2 linked regions of the Caenorhabditis elegans genome follow. The protein of the gene in region 1 interacts with the protein of each later gene in a pairwise test. Each region holds a gene or a part of one and is shown on either strand. Other genes may lie near its edges.

The links.
Region 2: the proteins of C14B1.2 (region 1) and tmbi-4 interact in a two-hybrid assay, tested with the Caenorhabditis elegans proteins (one large-scale study listed by BioGRID).

What each region holds. Positions count from the first base shown.
Region 1 is NC_003281.10:3,700,457-3,703,812, forward strand, and holds C14B1.2 (Conserved plasma membrane protein), read left to right. Parts: upstream 1-1,803; 5' UTR 1,804-1,870; coding exon 1,871-1,969; intron 1,970-2,013; coding exon 2,014-2,130; intron 2,131-2,184; coding exon 2,185-2,316; intron 2,317-2,365; coding exon 2,366-2,614; 3' UTR 2,615-2,716; downstream 2,717-3,356. Other genes in the region: pdi-1 (Protein disulfide-isomerase 1), read right to left, coding at 1-429, 480-863, 910-999; C14B1.3 (F-box domain-containing protein), read left to right, coding at 3,200-3,264, 3,316-3,356.
Region 2 is NC_003284.9:9,148,976-9,153,936, forward strand, and holds the start of tmbi-4 (Transmembrane BAX inhibitor motif-containing protein 4), read left to right. Parts: upstream 1-1,718; 5' UTR 1,719-1,732; coding exon 1,733-1,771; intron 1,772-2,698; coding exon 2,699-2,754; intron 2,755-2,931; coding exon 2,932-3,050; intron 3,051-3,320; coding exon 3,321-3,429; intron 3,430-3,438; exon of another isoform or gene 3,439-3,517; coding exon of another isoform or gene 3,518-3,661; intron 3,662-3,718; coding exon of another isoform or gene 3,719-3,817; intron 3,818-4,007; coding exon of another isoform or gene 4,008-4,169; intron 4,170-4,550; coding exon of another isoform or gene 4,551-4,695; intron 4,696-4,961. Other genes in the region: putative calcium-binding protein B0563.7, read right to left, coding at 3,518-3,661, 3,719-3,817, 4,008-4,169, 4,551-4,695.

The sequences.
Region 1 (3,356 bases):
AATTCTTGCGTTCTCTTCAACATCAACGTCGAGAAGAACAAAGACGATCTTAGCACGGAACTTCTTAGCGACCTCAGTGAACTTGGCAATAGTCTCATCGAAAGAAGAGTCTGACTTGCGGATGATCAAAAAGTGGAACTTTTTGAGGTCTCCTCCGACGATTTCTTGAGCAGATTCGTGGGTGAACTCGGTCACGGCAGAGAGCTTGTAAGCGTGGAGCCATTGCTTAAGAGCGATGGTGTTGGTGATTTCAGCTTCAGCAATTGTGCTAGTCTCGCTGTCGTCTCCATCAGTGCGGATAAGAGCGACTCCATCTTCATTCAAAGATGCGGCAGCAGCAACCTCAGCAGAACCGGCAACGGCGAAGAATGCGTCATCGACAGAATCAGCAACTTCGTTGTAGATGGTAGCAGCATCAGATTTCGCGTCCTGAAAAATAAATAAATTAAATAGGTTGTACTTTTTATGTAAAAAAATACCTTGAAGTATCCAAGAACAACAACTCTGGTCTTTCCCTTCAATTCCTCGAGTTGCTCAACTGACTCAACAGTGGTAACAGTTGGTCCACTCTTCTTCTTGACCCAATCGACAATTTGAGCGGTGGCGCGTCCTCCGGTGTATTTCGTTGGCTTTCCACTCTTGAAGTAGAGGATAGTTGGATATCCACGGACCTCGAACTTGGATGCAAGAGCTTGGTTTTCGGTGGCGTCAACCTTGGCGAGCTTGATATCGGATCCTTCCTCCTTCAGCAAATCGGCGGCTTCGTCGTACTTTGGAGCAAGAGACTTGCAATGTACACACCATGGAGCATAGAATTTGACTAGAACAAACTCATTTCCATTGATAGTTTCTTCGAAATTGCTCTGAAAACAGTTTTTTAGAAGATAATGATCAGAATAAATGTTATACTTCAGTGAGAACAAGCACGTTTTCGCTGTCAGCAACAACTGCTCCGATTGATGCGACCAGGAGGAAGATAAAGGACACTGACAGTGACATAATTACCTGAAAATTTAAAAAAATAGTAATAGAAAATTTGAGGAAGTTATCATTGAAGAGAAAAGAGGTATAGACAACGATAAGTGTGCAAACAATACGTTAGCCATTACTTTGCGATCAAAAAAGTAGGGTATGAGTATTGACAAACGCAGTCAATTTTTCTTTTAAAAAATCCTCGTCGTTCACAACCTGCTAGGAAGAGTGCGAGCGACGAGAAGAGAAGGAGAATAAGCGCACGTTGTAAAACAGAGTAACGAGAGAAAGAGAAGAGACCGTGAACGCCCCGGCAGAGACAACGAGGACCGCGAAACTGCAAGACGAATGGACAGTGCAGTATTGACACGTCAGCATACGCGTGTACGGGAGATGTCCACGTGGACGTCACCGTGGCGACCTTTATGACTTATTGAGATGAGAGTTCGCGCATTTAATGGAAAATTAATTGTGTTCTAAACCTTAAAACAGTGAGAAAATGAACAAAACACATCGAACTGAAAGTTTGTGCAACTACAATGCTAAAGGAACGTCGACGGCCCGGAAATGAGAGTCTATTCGAATATAATTATGCTTATCTTCAACTTAAAATTATTCTGAACCCAAAAAATTTATTCGGAATGGGCAAGTTTATCAAAAAAGTTGTTTTTGGAACTAAAATTAGCTCAAAAAATGACTTTAAAAACTGGGTCAAATAATCACTCTTTTAAAGACGCACCGGATTTAAAGATATGGTCTCGAAGCGCTGTATACAGTGTAGTCCGAGTGGACAATCAAATACTTGTTTCAATGATTTCTAATTTCATTTTTTTTTGGAAATTCTTTTTTCTTTCGTGATTTTGTCACATACATATTACATTATATTCAGGTTTCCGCTATGAAAATCCCACTAATCCTGTTGCTGGTTGTTTCAATTCAATGTTTCTATGTGAGAAACCAGACTGAAGACTCGATGGCAGAAGGATTACGTTCGAAGGTGGGCTCAAAATGAGGATATATCAAAACACATAAATATTAAAGGATAATAGTATCGAATTGTTCGGTCAACGCGTGGAGGTGCCGTCGTGGTTGAATACGGCAGCTGAGAAAACAAGAGGAATGTTTGACTCTGTGACAGGTCTTTTCGGAAAGAGTACAGTAAGTATATAACATCGACGGTGGGAGGGGTCATATTGACACAACCGTTTTTAGGCCACGTCGCGCAGATCGTCGGACGGCTTGATGACAAATCTGAAGAAGGATGAGGCGACAAGGATTTGGTTTGCAGTCTATCTCAACATCATTCTCGTTGCTCTGATTTACGTTTTCATCACGATTAAGCTGGTAAAAAATGATTACACTAAAGATTAAAGCTAGATAATTGAATTTTTAGGCACTCATGTCACTGAGCGAAGGAAAAACTGAGCGCAAGAAACGGAACACCTTCAGTTCACACGTTGCCTACGATTCCCCCGACTATAATGTCCCATTGACCAGTATTGCAACAAGAGAGATTCCAAGAGGTCCCGTTCAAGATGAAGATTTCGAGATGGCTTTGGAAGTCCGAGAGGATGAGCAAATCGCCATTCCGAACCCTGATCTCCGCAGTGATTTATCCACGGAATTTGATGATAATCACTAGTTCTAATTCATGTTCAAAATTTTTGTAAATAGCATCACTAATCTATTCCAATTTGACAGGTTCCTATTGCACGAGTATTTCTTCATAAACACGGTTATTCGTTTTTTTTTCCTTTTTAGAAACACAAATCTGAAGAACATGAATTGCTTGACCTTGGTATTGGCGGCGATAACCTAGAAAGTGGGACAAGTTATTTCTTGCTGTCCACGTATCTTTGGATAAGGAAGATCATCAATGTTTCGTAACCTGTAAAACTAAGAGAAGAGAAAGACAAATATATATCAACTAATCTAAAAAGTTGCAGTCAGCAAGATGAGGAAAAAAATAAAATATATAAAGAAGTTGAATATCTAGAGGTTCTCAATATTTTTGTCAGAAAGTTTTTTTCTCATTCTCAAAATAGCATTGAATATTTTCTTATTAATATTTTTGCTTTAAAATAATAATATTAACAGCGTGATAGTTTTTTGGAACACGAATATCACATGCATGCGCATTTCGCAAGACTTCCATTCTCTGCGTCTCTCTCCTTCTGACTCATTTCTTCTCTTTAAAATCGAAAAATATTGTTCTCATCGACCCCAAATGTTTAAAGCGTTCTCATCGATAATGCAAAGTCTACAGTTCAAAACCGATGTTCCAGTGATAATGTGAGTTTTTTCTTAATTAAAATATCAATTTTTCACCTAGAATTATTTCAGAGATGCAGAAACTGTGCCGAACGAATGTTTCTCGCCAATTT
Region 2 (4,961 bases), on another chromosome or scaffold:
GGTTGATGAGAACGCAAACATCGAGCAGCAAGTATAGATTTTTCTGTAAGTAAACCTAGGAGAAATTAGTGCAAGCCGCGATTGTGTCGTATTATGACTGTGTAAGAAAACCTGTCCATTGCCTGTCCATGGAATAATGATGAAAATTGTCACATTTTACTCGCAAAAAGCACCTGCACCTCTTATTCTCGCCTGCTATATCAAAACGTCTCTGGCGAGAAAGCGTGTGGAGAAGGGTGAAGCAAACGTCTCCGCCGTTCTCATCAAATCATGGACACGTAATACAGAACGGGACTATACAATAGCCAAAAAATTTAAAAATTAGCGAAATGTACAAAATGAACCACCCTTGAAACAATATGACTGTGAATTTTGCATGAGTATGTTTTTTATAGTTGTTTGTCAAAAAATGCGGTTTTTCACTCAAAAATACGGTACCCGGTCTCGAAACTTCCTAAAACCTGAAACAGATTATGAAAAAAGTATGCGAAAATGTTTTGAAAAAATTTTTTGTTTGTTTCATTTTTTACTAGTTGAAGTTAAGATCTTTAGAAAACGCTCCGATTGAGCTAAAATTAAATGTCGTATCTTCTCAAAAATCATAAAATCCGGCAACGAGGTATGAGTGATTTGTGTTTTTTTTCTTGATTGTATTTTCATGCTGAAAAATTTGAAATAATTTTTATTCGTGACGTCATATTATTTTCAACATGCTTCTTTGTTTGAAAACAGCTATGTCGTTGCGCATTTTCAAGCAAAACGAGCTACTTCATTATTATATGTTGTTTTCATTATGGTCATCGTTTATCAAGTTGTCCTTTTTAATTGTGAATACTGAATCCAAGTTTCACAACAACCAGACTGTTACGACTGTATTTCCAAACTGGTTTACCTTTCAATGTGGCAATATTATCAATACTATTTCATTATTATTTTCAAATTGATTTTTTCCCAAGTATTACTCAACATTTTCTGACAAGTAGGCAAATACATTTTTCTACCCAACGGTAGCTTAGCAACTGAGAATTTAATCATAGTTTGTGCCTTCGACAGGAGTTTTTTTTTTTGGTTTTCCGCTACCTCTCATTTTCAGCTCACATCACCTGTTCATAATTGTTTCTTTTAATTCCTTTGCCATTGGTTGGTTAGAATACACATTTGGACGTTTTGAGTTTTTGTGAGAGAAAATTAATTTGAAAAAAAATTTAATTTTGAAGTAGATTTATTTAAATGGAATCGACAAATAGTCCTATTTCAATGAAAAAAAAACTTTTTGCGAGATATTTAACCAGATTAAAAAAAACGTTGCAACTAAAATATTGAAAATCTTCGTACTTTTTGTATAATATACAGGTTCAAAATATAATTTATGTAATTTATGGATGTCGAAACAGAAACATCGATAATTCATTCATTCTGAAAAACCGACAAGCGCGCTCTAATGTGAACCGCTGACGTGCAGATCTCTGCGTTTCCTTTTTCCACACACTGTTTGCACTTTCCGCCGTTTGTCTCACACGTCAATATGCTTCTTTTTTCTTCCTCTTTTCCCTTTTATGTGACTGTTTTTCTAAATCTTTCGTTGTTGGTAGTTTTTCCGTTCTTCTCCCTTTTTTGTCTATGACATACTGCCAGTTTATTGATTTGTTCATTCAGTCACTTTTTAATTAGTTGTTTTTTTTATTTAATAATACATGTTTATATAAATGGATTTTCAGAACCTCTTCTCAGCATGGCGACAATCAACAGCCATCTCCGCGAGCCTGAGAGGGTATGTGAATAACCCCTTCACACACAGTTTTATTTTTGAAAAAAAGATCTCATTAGTTTTATTTCGATTTCAATATATCAGTTTTTGAAAAACCGAACAAAATTCCAACCCCGGTTAAAAGCATTGTAGAAAACTATGAGATGTTTGTACTAACAAAAATATATTTACCTATCTCACATAGGCAGTTATTTTTATGCAGAAGAGTTCCCGGTAGTTCCCAAAAAGTTGATTTTTTTGTTTTTTTTTGTTTCATAACGGAAATGCTCTAGCGGGATTTTATGACAAACGTTCCAATTGTTAAACTTTTAGGATGTTTTATATTCTACCGATTTAACTTTTGAGTACTGAATGTTTGAAAATTTGATGAATGTTCGAAAAGTACTAGCAACAAAGTTTCGACTGTATGATCCTTTCAGTTCAACTAAATCACAAGGTTTATATGAACTATCATAGTTGGAGGGCTCACCAATAATTTTTTTTGTAATAGTTCAGCAAAATTTCTCTAGAAAAGGAGTGAAATAAATTGCTTTATTTTTATGTTAGTATTATTCATTGCAATCAGAACTGCGCTCCTATCAGAGTTGAAATCCCTTGTTAATGTTGAAAATTAAATAAAACATTGTTGAAAATTTCTTAGACGTTTGGATCTCTTGGAGAATAATGTAGTGTGTCTCAGATTTACAGTTGTTTAAAAGTTTTCAACGTGACTTTTTTAATAAATCAGCCGAAATTAACTCTGTAACTTAAATAAATTCATCGACAATAAGAATTGCAGTCTTTATTAGAGTTGCAGCCAAAATGACCATTTGAAAAATAAAATTCCGTGCAATGAGGAATATACGGTACATGATATAAATTTTAAAAAATCTCATAGACCAAGGCATGTGTAATTTTTTGGCTACGAATGCTCAAAAAAAATTTTTTCAGGTGAACTTGCTTTCCGATCATGACGACAGTGACGACGACGAGGTGCATGTTAAGCGGTGAGAAAATATTTGTTAATTTTTTTAGCATTTCAGTCAGAAGTAGTTACTTGTGACGTCCCAAATCGAAATTCTCAAAATTTGTTCTCACATAGTTCTATAAAATTGTAAAAGAGTCACACCCTAACATGAAATATTGAAACTCCAAATCTGATTTTTCATTCTTAATTTTTACAGAAACCCACAAATGTGGCCAATGAGCATGGCCAGCTCGGCGCACGCAGAAGCGGGAATTGTTGACGCTGATGGAATTCTTCCAGGATGCGTCGGAAAAGCGAATAGAATGATTCGTATTGGTAAGGAAAATAAATTTGAATAAGATATCTTTTAATTAGAAACATCACGAATATTGTTTGACCGTTTTATTTTCGTTGTGATTATTTTTACAAATACTTTGTTTTCTCGACATCTTGAATGGTAGAGTGGCACCAGTAGAAGTTCGAAATAAACTCTATGATATTTGATAATTTTTAGAACAGTTTAGCCAATTTGGTTTACTCAATTTTTGATTGGCGCTACTCTACTTTTAATTATTTTAAATGGGATTTTCAATTATTTCATTTCAGCTTTTCTCCGAAAAGTCTTGGGTATCGTCGGATTTCAACTCCTCTTCACCATTGGAATCTGTGCTGCTATCTACAACATTCCCAACTCCAATCAGCTTCTTCAGAAACAGTACGTTTTTTTTGAATTACAATCAAACTTCCAACAAAACACATGTATTCACAAAGCTGCCAAAAAATAATTAAACAACCAGAGAGATCTATTCGGGCACAGTAGACAAATGATTTGGCATGGGGCTCGCTCGGTCGTCATGCCGGTCGTCGTATCTTTCCACATCAGAATCACCAGTGTCAATGTCATGTTTGGGGTCGTTTAGCAAGTAGTCTTCAACGATAGTTGCGAACTGGAAACATTTGAAAGTTTACATTTCCAAGGATTATGTTTTGAAACAAACACAGACCTGATCTGCAGACAAATGACCGTTGGCAGAAACGTCAAGTTCGCGAAAAACTTTTTCGGCAAGCTCATCGTCAAAGTCACCAAATTCTTTTGCAATATACTGAAAATAGAAAACAATGAAATATCGTAAATCTTTATTGTTAAACGAATTGTTTCATTGATGTAAGTTACTGGTTTGTATGTGGTATTTCAATTAGAAAAGGACCTACTCAATCGAACTCAAACTTCAAGTTTTATTATTGATCAGCAGTAACAGAAGATTTTCAAAACAACTTTGTTCGCTCACACACCTTAAACTCATTTTCTGTGATGATCCCATTCCTATCTTGATCGAATATCTCGAAACATTCTCTGATAAGCTCTTCGTTGGTCGACTTCACGATGTTTTGGGATTTTTTCATACACGCGCAGAATTCTTCAAAATCAATTTCTCCGTTGCCATCAGCATCCACCTGATCAATAAGCTTATTATGTATACAAGAAGGAGTGGAAACTGTTGAATTAGATAATTTAGAAGACTTTCTTGAAGAAGACAGCTTTGAACCCATTATTTTGATAGAAATTATCAGTTTGGTATGGCAATATCACAGATAAGAATAAAGAATGAAAACTTTCAAATTTTGTATCACTGTGTTTATAGTGAACTCCTCATGACATACTACAATTTGGAAATTTTCTCCGAAAACTGGTGCAGTGAACGATTTGACGATTTACGAGGGGTAGCAGAGTGGAAAAGTGAAAAAGGAGCAGAAATGGAAATGTGAAAATAACTAAAATAGTGCGTCGACAAGGAAATGTCATTGTCAAAAAGTGACATGTTCAATGGCGCTCACCTCTTTGATGACGTTGTCAATTTCAGCTTTGTTTGCATGAAGTCCAATGCTTATCATTGCCTGCTTTAACTCTTCGTTACCAATTGCTCCAGAACCGTCAGTGTCAAACATGTTGAACAGCTGACGGTATTCTTTGAGTTCTTTTCTGAAAATAAAGTGTATTGGTGAATAGATTAATAGCGATACTTTTTTTTTCTATTTGTGACAACCACTCAAATTTAACATCAACTGTGCTAATGGTTGTAAATACCTTTTAGTGAGGTTTAAAAGATTTTAATTCTTTTAACGCATGTATTTCAGGGTTTTTAAGTTTTGAACTTTACGCGGTCTTGTCAACGTTCATATTTATTTTCTTATTTTTCCATGGTTAGATACGCCGACAATAAAATGAAATAATTTCAATAGGGGACA